Mus musculus: one gene and its partner. The protein of the gene in region 1 purifies or fractionates together with the protein of each later gene. This does not show direct contact. Links are inferred from orthologs where the notes say so. Each region holds a gene or a part of one and is shown on either strand. Other genes may lie near its edges.

Region 1 (8,577 bases):
TCCAACACTCTGGGAAAATTGTTTTCTAGGATTCCCAGGACTTTTGGCAGCTGTTCTCAGCCTTCCTAACACTGTGACCCTTCAAGACAGTTCCTCATGTTGTGGTGACCCTCAACCATAGTTATTTTCATTGCTACTTTTTATCTGCAATTTTGCTACTTTCATGAATTGTAATATAATATGTGTGTTTTCCAATGGTCTTAGAGGGTTCCTGTGAAAGGGTGGTTCAATCCCTGACGGGGTCATAACAGCAGTTTAGAAATGCTGGCTTACATAGAAAAGAACATTTTCTTTTACACACACTCCCACCATGTTTGCTGGCTTCCCTCTGAGACTATGATTAGAGCACAGGTCCTCTTTCAGCTTATGCCCAGGGTTATTAAAGTATATGTGTATCAAGATCGCCGGGGAAGATTGGTTAAAATACAGCTGCTCATCATAGGGGTTTCTGATTCAGGCCTGAAACTGTTCTCAGGTGTCTTAGTTTGGGTTTTGTTGCTGTGAAGAGACACCATGACCAAGGCAGCTCTTATAAAGGCAAACATTTAATTGGGGCTGGCTTATAGGTTTAAAGGTTCAGTTCATTATCATCAAGGTGGGAAGCATGGAATCATACAGGTTGACTTGGTGCCGGAGGAGCCAAAGTCAATGTCTTGATCCAAAGGCAGACAGGAGAAGTCTCATCTGCACTGGGTGGAGTTTAAGCCTCAAAGCTCATCTCCACAGTGACATACTTCCTCCAACAAGGCCACACACCCTCCTAATAGTGCCACTTGCCATGAGCCAAGCTTATTCAAACCACCACATCAGGCAATACAGATGTTGTTGTTTTGATGAGCATTTTTTAAGAGCACACTACAGAGCTAGAGAGATGGCTCAGCTATTAAGAACACTGATTGTTCTTCCAGAGAACTGGAGTTCAATTCCCAGCAATCACATGGTAGCTCACAACCATCTGTAATGGGATCTAATGCCCTCTTCTGGTGTGTATGAAGACAGGGACAATGTACTCATATACATAAAATAAATCAACATTAACGAAAAAATAAAGAGCACACTACACTATGTGGTTCCTGCAACCCTCCTGTGTTAGGGAATGCTTCTCAACTTCGCAATCAACAATGCACTCAACAGTGCATTTACATTAATATGTACTATTATCTCATGTACATACAATAATATAGTATATAAACTCATAGGGATTTAGTACTTCATTCTGGGCATGATATGTGTCTCATGGAGTAGGTTATTTAATCTGTACCAACAATGTATAAGCAGGTACTCTTACTTTCACATATTAAAAATAGTAAATCCAGGCCAGAGAGGTAAGAGGGTTGCAACATTTATACATGCAGGAGCTCGTGTGAGAATCTCTCCATCTGAGCTTAGAGTTCATGTTCTAAGGCTCCATCCCAGAACTTCTCAGACTGCAACATAAATCACTTGCGATGCCTTGCATGACTGTACTTGGGGCACGATGGCAAGATCAGAGGCAATGACTCACACGGTGAGAAAGTGGATTGCTATTTTGGGTCTATTTTTCTATCCTTTCATGACATCACAGCAAAATGTCACTTGAGTACTGTGTCTTTATTATATAGGCATATAATATTTGATAATGTTTGATATTGTACCCTCTTAAGGAGGAGTTCATGATTCAGGGTTTAGTTCTGATCAGTTAGGGTTCTCTGGAGTCACAGAGCTTATAGAACGAATCTTTCTTTCATATGTGTGTGTGTGTGTGTGTAATGTATATGTATCTATAAAGGGTATTTATTGAAATGACTTATAGACTGCAGTCCAACTAATCTAACAATAGCTATGCTATCTGTGAACAGAAAGTCCAAGAATCTAGTAGTTGCTCAGTCCCACAGATTGGGTGTCTGAGCTGGTCTTCTGTTGATGCTGGAATCCTGAGGAAGAAGGCTCCAAGGCCAGTGAAGGAATGGATGTGCTACTAAGGCAAAAGCAAGCAGGCAAAGAGCAAAAACCTTTCTTCTTCCCCATCCTTATATACGCCCAGTAGAAGGTATGGCCAAGATTAAAGGTATGTGTGTCTTCCTGTTTCAAGATCTGGATTTAAGGTATGCCTTTCTATCTACCTCAAGATCTGGATCAAAAGCCTGTGTCTTCCCATCTCAAGATCTAACCAGGAGTATGTCTTCCCAACTCAAAGATCCAGACTAGAAGTGGATTCACCCACATCATACTAACCAGAAAAACCTCTCACAGATGCGCCCTCCCTTCTGGATTGTAGTTCATTCTAGTATACCCAGACATGGTATGGAAATGATTGAGATTTGAGAAGTCCTGCACCTGCCAACCTGTTAGTGTGTTCAACTGAACCAATCTTCAAGACTCTAAAGGAAAATTAGTTAAAATATACATTCTCTTTCAAGAGAGCAAGGACTTGGAGACATGTAAAAGAGTAATTTGGGGGGCGGGTAAAATATATGCTACTGGGGTATTCTGGGAATTAAACTTGGTTTCACAAAATGTCTAGCAATTTCTCGTGTTTTTATGGGAAATGTCGAATCATTTCTTTACATCGATGGTAGAAAAAGTAGTTTCAGTTCACTGGCAGATTTTACAGCTAAAGGACATCACAAGAAGTGGGGCTCTTAATCTGTGTGGGTAGGGAGGCCACGTGATAAATATATCCTGGGCTTTTGAGCTCTGGGTGATGAAGCTGGGGGTGGGGGCGGGGAGTTAAGAGAAGAGAGCTAGGCTGTAATCAGAGAAGCAGGCAGGCTTCAGGATGAGAAAAGGGGACATGTGCATCACTGACATAACGAACTTAAACTGTGACTGGGTTTAAATTAAGCAAGGTGTCCAGGGACTCCAGCTGTTGTATTTATTTTGGTTGCATGAGACGAGAGCTGATAACTCCGAGCCTGACACCCGATATAACTTAGCTGTCAGCTGCTAAACTCTGGTCAGGCCAAATCTACATCTCACCTATAGCTGCTTTATACAAACAGAATCAGAGAGCAGGGCGAGGGTCTGACCAGTGGTGGGCGGGTACCACGCACCACAGAGAACCACAGCAAACAAGCTCTTCGTACGTTTCTTTCCCTCGCTGCTATCAGAATTGCAACTGGTTTCGGATTTTCTTTTCTTGTACTTCAAATTGCAAATACTGGGTAACTTCTCACAGCCTTGGGAACCGAATTCTGCACCTCCATTTTGCTGGGGGGCATGCGGGAATGGAGGGAGAAGTGTAACTGCGCCAGTCCTGCGCTCAGCTCTCCACACCCCCTTCCCTTCGGGAGACCCCGCCCTTTTCTCCCAGCCAAACCACAAAAGGCCTGACAGTGGATCGGGCCTCGGCGCCCCGCCCCCGCCCAAACGTCGCAGTGCTGCAGGGGCGGGCGCAGGGCCAGAGAGGGGGCGGAGCCAAGCGCGTCTCCACTCTCCTCGGCCAATCCGCGAAGGGCCTGGGAGAGAGCTTGCAGGCGCCAGGCAGAGAGACAGCCCCAGTTATTTTCCCTTTTTCTGCCACGTCCAACCATGACGTAGGCCTACTTCTAGGACTGCGATTGGATGCGTGCTTTTCCCCCTGCAGAGGGCCGTGAAGTCTATTGGCTGCGCCCTCAGGGGGCGGGGCTAAAGCGCTCCCTTCCTCCGCCTCCTTCGCAGCGCAAGGGGCGGGACGCGCCGCCGCCGCCGCCGCCGTCACCACCTCTGCTTCCGCCGCCGCCGCCGCCGCCGCCGCTGCAGCCGCTGCGCGTTCGGCGGGGGAGGAGTCGGAGGCGGAGAAGAAGGCGGTGGTGGCGGGTGGAGGATCGAGCGCTGTTCTCGCTCTGGAGCCGCTGCACATCTCGGTGAGGGCAATTTTTATTTTTTTCTCTCTCCATTCTGGCTGATTCTGTCAGAGCGGATCTGGGTGAGGGAGCCGCTGCCCAGGCGCCTCGGCTTCGGGGGTCTCCGAGGAACGGACCGAGCCGTGGCCGGCCATGGTGGGTGGGGTTGGCGACTGAGAGGCCTCCGGCCATCCCGCCCGGGGCCGCGCTCTAGCCCGAGCCGCCGCGCCCGCCGCCCGCTCGCTCCCGCCGGCTGTCTGCTGTCCTTGGTGCCCTGGTCAAGGACCCGGCGCCTTGCCCCTCGCGGCCCGCCAGTGCCGCCCACCCTCAGGCCCGCCGCGGAGGACCGTGGCGCACTAGGCCTGCGGGGCCCCTGCCCGGCCCGGCACGGCACGCCTTCCATCCCTGCCTCCCGGATTTGCGTCCTCCCCGATTGTCACCGAGGCCCAGGCACCCTGTCAGGCAGTGCCAGTGGCCTACCGTCTTCTTGGTCAGCGTTAGGCCCCAGCACGCCTGTCAGAGGCACCTTCAGGGCTCCCCTCCCCGCCCCCACCCGCACCTCCACCCCCACCCCAAGATGCCTCCAGGTTTATCATTTTTTGCGCACATTAAAAATGGTGAGTTGAAAGCTGCCCAGACCAAGTTGAATAAAATAAAACAAAAAAAAAAATTGTATGTCTACATAGACAACTGCTTTGACGATCCTCATTCTGTCAAGTATACGATTCTTTTTTTTTTTTTTAAAGAGGCCTTACTCTATTTTTATCACGAAATATTTGCTATTATTTCTTTTAAGATGGCAGTCATTGCTGAAGACTTAACAGGTCATTTGATGAGTGTATACAGGAACGTAAAAAAATAACAGAAATAAACGTAACATGTTTGTGATTGTCTTCTGGATTTCATGTCTTTTTATATGAAATAATTTTATTCTTCTATTACAGACATGCACCCTCCGTGTAAAATTCAGCAGTATAAAGAGAGAAGTATTAAATAAATACTAATATGTGACTATTTTCATCCTTCAGTGCCCCACCAGTATTTCGGTTTGGTGGTCATCTTTCCAAGTGCTTTCACAAACGCATCTTGAAAGATACACACACATGCAGAGTTGTCTCCTTCAGGGATGGGGGTGAGGGCTATGCTGAGCACATTTGTGTAAAGCTTGCTTCTTCTAATTATATATCTTGGACATAGACTCCCGTTTTATGTAGGCCTCCCTAATACTTTTTCTATCTAAGGGTACATCCTATTTCTTTAATTTGATGGACTTTAATTAAGTATTCCTACTGAAAGCCGTTTCAGTGCTTGCAGTTGAAAGTTATGCTTTATACTAAAGGTAACTAACTCACGTATTGATTGATTGATGCTGAACTGTAAGCTCTGAATCGTTTATTTTAGAACATTTCACGGTGTGGAAGACTGTAATGTAAAAAGAGCAGCCCCCACTTTGCCTTCTAGTATATTGCCTCTATCCCAAGACTCAGACACTGTTTTAATAAGGGGGAAAAACCTGTGTGATCATTTCTGGAGCACAGATCCAGACGTACAGTTGCAGAAGTAAAGGGTATGAGTATTTAAATCTGACAGCCATCTAACCCTTATTATTACTCTTTTTAAAGATATTATTACTATTTCCTGAGTGTTTCTTCTAGGTGGTCTTCAGACCACTTGTGAGTTAAAATTTAAAAACCCTATTTTGAATAAGATTACACATAAATTCTTAGAACTGTTTTACAGTCTTAAGCCCCTCCCCAAACTGTTCTCACCATTTTATTCACATCTTGCTTTATATTAAAGCTTTAGTTACCCCTCATATATATCATTCCTTTTCAATATTCCCAGCTCCTTTATAGTTGTATTGCTGTAGTAGATGAAAACTTTAAGGTAACTTTGTTTTCCTGTCTCTGGCAATAAAAAAAAGCTTTTGATCCTTGCCACCCCCCCCCCCCCCCGTTTTTCATGGAGCTAATATTTGTATTTACTTGACAATTATCTGAAAGTATTTTTTTGGTTTCCTTTCCAGTTTTTATGACATTCTGACATTGCATTGCCCCTTAGGTGCTACATATTGTTGAGTAGTAGGGCTAATGCTACTAAGACTAGGGCTAATAGTTAAAATATGTCACTTTTTCTTTAAGGTAAATGCTTCTGAGGTTAGCATTAAATATGATTTTTCACAAAGCTTTTTAATAGTCAATATTAGGTTAAAATATGCCCTTCTGTTTTTAGCTTGCCCAGATAATGTTTTTGTTCTTATTTTTAAAAACATTTACTGAGCGTGTGTGTGCACATGTGTGTTGTTACAGCATGCTTATGGAGATGAAAGGACAACGTATGGGAGTTGGTTCTTCTGTCATGGGCTTCAGGATTGCATAGTGTCAGGCTTTGTGGCAAGCACCCTGACCTACCTGCTGCCTCTCTGGCTCCTCTTGCTGTCATTCTTAATATTTATAAAAAAGTAGTGGAGGTTAAGTTTTTTTTCTTTTCCTTCTTTCTTTTTTTATTTTTTGACATCTTTTCAACTATATATATGGTTCCATTTGGGTGTCACTAGTGGTTCTTATATACTAGTTCCTTAAAAGAGATTATCTTTTCAAAAAGTCAACTTTTTTAAATTAGAGAGTAAATTAGAATTAATGAAATGTACTTACTTAAGATGTACATCTCATTGTGTTTTCATAAAAGTATACTTTTATGTCTCTCTCTCTCTATATATATATATATGCACACACATTGTGTGTGTGTGTGTGTGTGTGTACATATAATATATAACATAGGACAATATTTTCACCTCTCTGAAAACTTCTATTCCTTTGAGGTCAACCAGACTTTGACCCTGAGCCCCGGGAAACCACTTACCTTTCTCACAGTATACATTGTTTTCCCTTGGTCTACTATTTCATATAAATGTAATTATTTCTTTTGTATCTGCTATTTCCCAGCATCATGCTTTTGAAGACCATTTGTGTGTGTGTGTGTGTGTGTGTGTGTAAAACTAGCTTCTGTTTTTTGTGAAGTAGTTCATGATAGTTGTTGATTTACTACTGTTTTAGTCATTTAATCAATGTATTTGGGTTGTTGCTGATTTGGGGTTGTTATTAATAAAGGTGCTGTGAACATTTATTCTGAGTTCTTATGTGAATTGAAACATTTTTTAACCTGGAAAATCTCTAGATGTAGTATTTATTGACTTATATAGAAAATGAATGTTTAATCATTGTCTCATGTTCCTTGTCTGCCAGTGACACACAGCAGTTTGCCTTACCCACACCCTTACACCCTTCTAGTATATGTATAGTAGTTTTACTATATCACACTGGCTTTTATTTTTTGTTCACATGTTTGTTATCTTGGTCTTTTCGAAAAGAAATCTGTTTTGTAGCTGAGGCTGTAATGAACTCAAACTATGTAGTTCAAGCTAGCCTTGAACTCTTAATCCTCCTGCCTCAGGCTTCTGGCTTCTGGGATCATTCCTGGGACGCAGTGAATTTTAACTTATATTTACTGGATGACTCATGATGCTGATAAGCTGGTCTGTGTCTTCATTTGTAAATGCTTTCTTCAGATCTTTCAGCCATTTTAAAACTCAGGTTATCCTAATGAATTTTAAAGCTTTTTAAATATGTTGTTTATATGGCTACACTGACAGACATGAAACACACATTTCAATATGAAGGTTTTTATGTTTTCTTTATTTCCAAACTATAAACAAGAGGAGGAGCTGAAGAGATGGCTCTGCAGGTAAGAGCACCTGCTGCTCTTCCAGAGGACCCAGTTTCAGTTCTCAGCACCCACATTGGTCTGCTCACAAATGCCTGTAACTCTAGCTCCATGGAATCTAATGTTGTCTTCTGGCTCCACAGGTACCTTCACTCATGTGGCAACACAAATAATTCCTTAAAAAGAGCTTTTAATGGGAATTAATTTGGCTAATGAGCTTCTTTTTTTTCCCCTTTTCTTTTTCCTGTGCTTCTGTGCTCTGAGGATTCTTTACCAATTGCAAAGCTGTACAAGTTTCCTCATGTTTTTGGCTATGTATTTAATAGTTTTGGCTTTTACATCACGATGCGTTACATATTCTGAGTTATATTTTTGTTTTATGATGTGAGAAAAGGTTTAAGGCTTGTTTTCTTATCCATTGGCTATGTCGTTCTAGTTCCATTTGTCAAGAACATTCCTTTTCTTATTCAGTTAAAAGTTAGTATACTAAGACCACAAATGTGATGTGTTTCTGGACTGTCCCCTTGATCTCTATGCCTGAAATTTTGAAAATACTAGATTATAGTGGCATTTACTTTGTAATAATTCTTGAAATCAGGAACGTGAACTCCTGAGCTCTCTTTAAGCATCACTTTGGCTCTTGGCAAGATGGCTTAGTGTAGTAAAAAGTGCTTGTTTCTCAAGCAGGAGGCCTGTGCTCCAGTCCCTAGCACCCACGTAAAAACTAGCCTCATGTGGCCATGTGCTTGTGATTCCTGCACTGAAGGATAGAAACAGCTAGAGCAGAGGCAGATGGCCACCCAGGGTTGGCTAGCCATCTACTCTACCCTATCAGTGAGCTCCAGGTCCCGTGAAGAGACTCTGTATACACACAAGGATACATAAAATGAAGCTCAAGAGAAAACGTTACCTGAGTTGACACCTAACCTTTCAACTAGAACTTTGTATACTGTTAATTAGAAATGGAGATTGTTTGCTATAAAAAAACAGTATTTTCACCCTTCAATGCAATTTTGTTGTAGCTTCTTGACTAGTAAACTTTGCATTGAGA
Region 2 (7,113 bases), on another chromosome or scaffold:
ACCTTTACATGGTTTTTTAATCTGTGTTTCAAGACAGGGTCTTACTATGCAGCCTTGGCTTTCCTGGCATTCACTATGAGACCAGGCTGGCCTGGGATTCACAAACATCCCCCTAACCCTGCCTCTGCCTCCCCACTGGTGGGAATAAAGGTGTGTGTCACTGTGTCCAGCCTTTACATGAGTTTTGAAGATCTAATTCGGGTCATTTGGCTTTCATGGAAAGCACCAAACTCACTGAGCCATGCCACTAAACCTGAACTTTTTTTTTTTTCCCCCGAGACAGGGTTTCTCTGTATATAGCCCTGGCTGTCCCGGAACTCACTTTGTAGACCAGGCTGGCCTCGAACTCAGAAATCCGCCTGCCTCTGCCTCCTGAGTGCTGGGATTAAAGGCATGCGCCACCACACCCGGCTCTAAACTTTTGTTTTAATGTCCATCTAAAAATACTGACAAAGGGGCCAGCATGATGGCTCAGTAAGTAGAGGTACTTACTACCAAGCCTGGTGGCCTGAGTTGGATCTCTGAGACCTACATGGTGGATGGAGGTTGTCCTCTGACCTCCACATGTGCCTTACAGCACGTGCATAGATACATGTCTGCTCTTGCACACACACTGATGAGATGAAATACTTTTTGTTTCATCACGTGTTCTGTTCTGTTTATGTCCTTTGTCTGTTATAGGTGTTTGGTCTTTGTCATACAAGCTGTATGTTTTCTTCCCCTGGGGTACCTTGATCTTATTCATGGAGTGTTTTGCAGTATACACTTCTCTTATTTTGCTCAGCTCCTTTAAGATGTGGGTTGTTTCATTGTTGCTTTTTGTGGTGCTAGGGATTGAAGCCTGGCCTCCTGTGTGCTAGGTGTGTGTTCTGCCCTGAGCTCTTTTTGAGCCCCCGATTACATTTTGTCAGTGAGAAAGTTATTACTTCTTTTGTGGTTGGGCTTAGACCCAGGGTCCCTCACATGGTTGAACTTTACCTTCTTCTAAGTTACACCCCAACTTCTCCATTTCTTTTTAAAAATGTTGTGCTAGGAGAACATTTCTGTTTTGCTACTATGTTTGGTTTTGGTATGGTACTGAGAAGTGAAGTCAGCCTGCCTGCAGTTCCTGGGCTCTGCGTGGCTTCTTCCCAGATTCTTCCTGCCCTCCTCGGTGGAGTCTGAGCAGAGGCACTGCTGGGAGAAACACATCAAGTGTTTGTACTTAGGCTGGAGTTGGGGAACATGGTGGAACATACCTGCAATCCCAACACTCCTGAGGCTGAGGCAGGAGGATTGCTGGAAGTTCAAGGCTATTCTGTGTTATAGAGTGAGACCTCATTTCAAAGAAACAAACAAAACAACAAAACAAAAACCCACCAGATTTGACTTAATAACATTTGTCTTAGTTAGGGTTTTACTGCTGTGAACAGATACCATGACCAAGGCAAGTCTTATAAAAAACAACATTTCATTGGGGCTGGCTTACAGGTTCAGAGGTTCAGTCCATTATCATCAAGGTGGGAGCATGGCAGTATCCAGGCAGGCATGGCGCAGGAGGAGCTGAGAGTTCTATCTATGTCTTCATCCAAAGGCTGCTAGTGGAAGACTGACTTCCAGGCAACTAGCGTGAGGATCTTATACCCACACTCACAGTGACACACTCATTCCAACCAGGTCACACATATTCCAACGAGGCCACACCTTCAGATGGTGCCACTCCCTGGTCCAAGGATATGCAAACCATCACAACATTCTTCTATTAAACCTTGTATTTCCTTTCTCACAGACAATTATACGTTCATTCTATTTGAGTATGTTCTATTAAATTCAGTTTAGCAAGTACTTAGATTAAAGTTGTTCACATATTTACCAAGTTATTTTTATGAGGGAAGATCTCATTTAGCTCAGTTTGGCTTTGAATTCCCTGTGTAACTGAGTATGACCAATACCCCATCTTTCCATCTCTAGCTCCCTCTTGCAGAGGTTATAAAATCTCACCACCATGCCCAGCAGAATCCTCCTTTCTCCTCATCCTCTCATACTACTGTAATGGTTCTGGGTTCCTTTACTTTCCTCCTCATTAGGCTGTCATCAGTGTTGTAATGTTTGCTTTTTTTTTGAGACAGGGTTTCTCTGTATAGCCCTGGCTGTCCCGGAACTCACTCTGTAGACCAGGCTGGCCTCTGTATAGCTCTGGCTATCCTGGAACTCACTTTGTAGACCAGGCTGGCCTCGAACTCAGAAATCCGCCTGCCTCTGCCTTCCGAGTGCTGGGATTAAAGGCGTGCGCCACCACGCCTGGCCTTTAACATATCTTTTTAAAAAAGATTTATTCATTCATTTATATATTTATTTAGTTATTTATTTGAGACACACCAGAAGAGTGCATAGGATCCCATTACAGATGGTTGTGAGCCACCATGTGATTGCTGGGAATTAAACTCATGACCTCTGGAAGAGCAGTCAGTGCTCTTAACCACTAATCCATCTCTCCAGCCCCCTTAGCATATCTTAAGTCATTAGCAAGATGGGAATTTTAAAAGAAAAGATGTTAAACCTGTATTTTTGCTATTTCATATTAAAATTCTGCTCTGAGAAACCAGTCATAAACTTCAGTGTAATGTTTGAAAAGTAATTTTAACCAAGACTAGGAAGAGTTGGGAATACCATAAAAATATATAAGATGAGCCGGGCGTGGTGGCGCATGCCTTTAATCCCAGCATTTGGGAGGCAGAGGCAGGTGGATTTCTGAGTTTACAGAATTTCTGAGGGCCAGCCTGGTCTACAAAGTGAGTTCCAGGACAGTCAGGGCTATACAGAGAAACCCTGTCTCAACCAAAAAGAAATATATATATAGATACAAGATGTATTATATCAAGCTTCTAAGGGCTGACTGAAGAAAAAAGTAAGATGCAAGGTAGGAATGCTGTTAAAAGCCTCCATTTTCCAAGAGGTTCGAGGGTGTTTAATTTAAAGTATGAGGAACTGGTTTTTGAAGCTGACTTTTTGTTCAGCCTGGGACTCACTGTGGAGTTCATGGACTCTCAGAGATCCACCTGTCTCTGCCTTAAATTAAAGACAAGCACCACTTGCTTGCCAGGCATGTGCCTTCTTAGTTTTTCTTAATGTTGGTTTATGTAGCTAGTACTGGCTCGCTGGCATTCTCCTGTCTATAAAGGAGTTGGTTCTGTTAGCCAAACTTGTACAGAGTGTAGCCACTCGCCCCATGGCTACTGCTTGGAGAGTTTTCTACTCCTCCCAGTTTTTCTCAAGAGGTATTTCTTTTTTTCTGAGAAGGAAAGAGGCCCCTTTCTTCTGTTTCAGGAAGGATCACTCCCTTTTTAGGATACAGGAAAATGAAGACTTACTTTCCAGAGTAATGTAAAAGATGAGATATTCTCTACCTACATAGATGATGGTAAAGACTTGATACCACTTAAATGTGGTATCTGTTTAGGATACACATTTGTTTAGGAAGTTCTCCATTCCTAAATTTTTTTTCCTATTACAGATGACAAAAGTGATAATTTATAATCAAAGTGTGTATTCTTGTTGCATTTGATCTTAGAGAGACACTCTGATATTAAACAACCAACATGTTCATTTGAACTGTGATCCAGCAGCCTCTATCCCTATACTACTGTTGTAGACAGTGTGGTGTGTGAAGAATACTTAGTTTGGGATTTCCCTTGCTTTGTGAGTGTGTAAGCTTGTGTGCTACAGTTGCTTTGGGTAGCATCAGGACTTGCTGCATTCTGATTTGATAAAAGACTTATAGGCGTGTATTCGATTACAGGTGTCCCTTTTCCCAAAAACTTTATGTCTGTGGCAAAGACTATTCTGAAGCGTCTCTTCAGGGTTTATGCCCATATCTACCACCAGCACTTTGACTCCGTGATGCAGCTGCAGGAGGAGGCTCACCTCAACACCTCCTTTAAGCACTTTATTTTCTTTGTTCAGGTAGGTGAGTCATTGATCTCTGGGCCTTGGACTTAGACCTTGATAACTTAGTAAAAATTATCTTATTTATCGATGTAGAAAGTGTAACTTTAAGCTTTGTTCTGTCCCCGTTTTGTCCTCTTCACCACACTGTTTCATTGATTCATGAAGCAGTATAGAAGGGCAGTGTCTCTGGGATGCAGAGGTGGCTCAGCAGTTAATAACACATACAGTTACTGCTGAGGACCTAGGTTCAGTTCCCAGAACCCACATCAGGAGGCTCACAGTAGGCCGTAGGGATCCAGCATCCTCGTCTAGTTTCTGCAGACACATGTACGCATGTGGTTCACATAAACTCATGAAAGCTCATGTATACAACTAAAATAGATAACTGAATCTTAAAAAAAAAAGTGGGGGTGGGGGAGGCAGCATCCCACTGGGGCCTGGCTGCCTAGGGCTTTCCTTGGCCATCGTTGGCCTGTGAGCACTAACAAAATTAGAACTTTAAAATATCAAATAAAGGTATTTGGAAAAGAGACAAAGAATTAACAGACCATGATGCCACATCTCTCTTATCCTAGCCAGACCTTGTTTCAAAAAACCAGAAAAGAAAGCTGGAGAGACAAATGGCTCAGCAGTAAAGAGCACTTTCTGCTCTTGCAGAGGACTTGAGTTCATTTTCTAGCACCTGCATTGGGGAGCTCACAATTACCTTAGCTCAAGAAATCCTGATACCTACTTCTGTTCTCTTCAGATACCCGAATACGTATGGCAAATACATGCGCCTGCAAACACACACACACACACACACAGATTAAACTATTTTAAAAAGCAGGGAAAAAAGGACTCCTCTTTAGAGCTAGGCAATTCTGATGTAAATTATCATTTTATAGTAGAGAACACTGGTAGCTTTTTAGTGATTATTGTGTATTGTGGCTTTGTGTACAGTGTAAAGGCTATACCAACTTAATGTTTTTCTTTTTCCTTTTGAGACTGTATTCCTTTTATGTGCACAGTTATGTATGTTCATGTGTATGTATAAAAGTAAAAGCTGACTTCTCATGAGGTAGCTGTTATCAAAGGCTTAGTGTGTCATTTTCAGGTCATTTCTGTATAAACTCATATATTTTATTTTGGTGTTTAGCACAATGATGAGCTACAGTGCCTCTCATCCCCCACAGTTGGTTAAGAAGGGAGCCTGATGTCCCAGTATTGTAAAAGTCACGAGTCATGTGTTGGTCTTTCTGGGGCCCAGACACACCTGGTGATCTTACGGGTCACCAGATACTGTTGATACTATAGAGATTCCAGGATTTTAGGAGCTGTGTGTCAGGAAATGGGGAGGAAGACCAGCATATGTCATAACATATATGTATGTAGGTATGTGTCTGTGCATGTGGCTACACATATAGATGGAAGCCAGAAGTCAGCACTGAGCATCTCCCAACACTGGGCATTACTGGTTCAGCTAGACTAATGGCCAGCAAGCTCTAGGGATCCTCCTGTGTCTACCTCCCCAGCACCATGGTCACAGTACTGTGTCTGGCTTTCTTGTGTGACAAGCATTTTCCTTACTAAGGAGCCTTCTCCTTAGCCTGCACTTGTTTTAAAAATGACTAAAAACAGTTATTTTATATATCATAAAGGTCATTTCTTTCAGATTTCAGAAAGCTAGGTTTAGGAAGCTCATTTCTGAAAAGTATGTAAGAGTTTCAATTTTGGTTCATTATTACATTTTTCTTTTCTTTTTAGGAGTTTAATCTGATTGATAGGCGTGAGTTGGCACCACTTCAGGAATTAATTGAGAAGCTTGGATCTAAAGACAGATAAATGTTTCTTCTAGAACACAGTTATGCTCTCCTTCTATCTACTGCTAGCACTCTCTCATTGCTGTCTGGTATGGACTAAATGATACTGACTACAAGAAACCAGGATCAAAAGATCCATTGTGTTTGCAGAGAAAATTGTCCCAAAGGTAGGTTGGCCAGATAGCTTCAGAACAATCCAACGACAACAGCTAAATCCGAGGTGCTGTGTGGCCACCCTGTTACTGCTAGTGTCCTTCTTTGTCTTAGCCCATGACTAACCTGTAGTTTGTTGCTGAGCTTTGTTTAAGAAAATGATTTTTCCCATGTGACAGCATAATGGACATTAAGAATTTTCAGCAGCAACTTACTAGTAAGTTTCTAGAACAAATGTCTTAACACAGATCAGTTTGCTTTGTTTTACAAATCAGTGGTGTTCTGTTTCTAAATCCCATCGTTTAGAGCTTCTGTTTTACTTTGGTTCACATTTGTATACTGATGTTTTATACGCAAGAGTGTATGTTTTTAGCTAGGCATGATGGTCCATGCCTGTTACCTGACAACTGTGGAGGCAGAGGAGAGGGTCTCACATTTGAAGCTGGTTTGAGCTACATTGTGAAACTGTTGCTAAAAAAAGTTTGTTTTACAAAATCCACAAGGCATAAATCACAGGCATATGTGGACTGAGATAACCAAAGTTATTTTAAATGACTTTATTTTCTAAACTTGTTTGGGATTGTCTTCATGTCTAGATGAGGAGAGTGCATGGCTTCTGACGGTGCCTTGCAGGTTCTCATTTGAGACTCCTCACTCAGATTAATTTCATATGTAGCTTGGGGCAGAGATCAAAACAACTTTCAAAGCTCTGAGACACACTTGGACCTTAAAGCCACTGTGTGCATTGCTGTTTCCTTGCAGGTCTTGCGGGGCAGTAGGAAAAGTATTCAGACTACTTGATTATTTCCTAAATGATTCCATGTTTTTATTGCAACTTGAAACTTCTGTTTCTGTATAGAAATGCACAGACTTCATGGCAATAAGGACGAAGGTCAAAAACCACAGAATAGCTTGTGAGGGGTGGGGGTGTTGTGTGTGTGTGACAGCAGGTCTCCTTGGGCCTGTGAGAGCTGGAGACCCAGCAAAGAGAGTGAGTTGATAGTAACTTGGCTTCATTCTGCGCACAGGCTGCAGTGACCTCTAGAGCTTCTATCCTACTTGTCTTTGTATCAAAACTTGAATTTTTCCTCATCCTGTCAGGATAAAAGACTCCTCTACTCGGGAAGTGCCTGCTTTTCATGTGGTCCTCAGATCTAGTCAGCTCTGGCTGCCTCCTCAGATGTACATGACATCCCAGGGATTCTGGACACTTGCCCGGCAGGCAGAGCTG

What was found. The genes of interacting proteins can lie anywhere in the genome.
Region 2: the proteins of Pja2 (region 1) and Mob1a purify together in Homo sapiens (affinity purification with western blotting; 3 studies listed by BioGRID). This does not show direct contact. The link is inferred for Mus musculus from reciprocal best matches to the Homo sapiens genes PJA2 and MOB1A.

Annotation. Positions count from the first base shown.
Region 1 is NC_000083.6:64,327,043-64,335,619, reverse strand, and holds the start of Pja2 (E3 ubiquitin-protein ligase Praja-2), read left to right. Parts: upstream 1-3,736; 5' UTR 3,737-3,824; intron 3,825-8,577.
Region 2 is NC_000072.6:83,334,503-83,341,615, forward strand, and holds the end of Mob1a (MOB kinase activator 1A), read left to right. Parts: intron 1-3,778; coding exon 3,779-3,942; intron 3,943-5,673; coding exon 5,674-5,751; 3' UTR 5,752-6,447; downstream 6,448-7,113. UniProt on the Homo sapiens protein: Activator of LATS1/2 in the Hippo signaling pathway which plays a pivotal role in organ size control and tumor suppression by restricting proliferation and promoting apoptosis.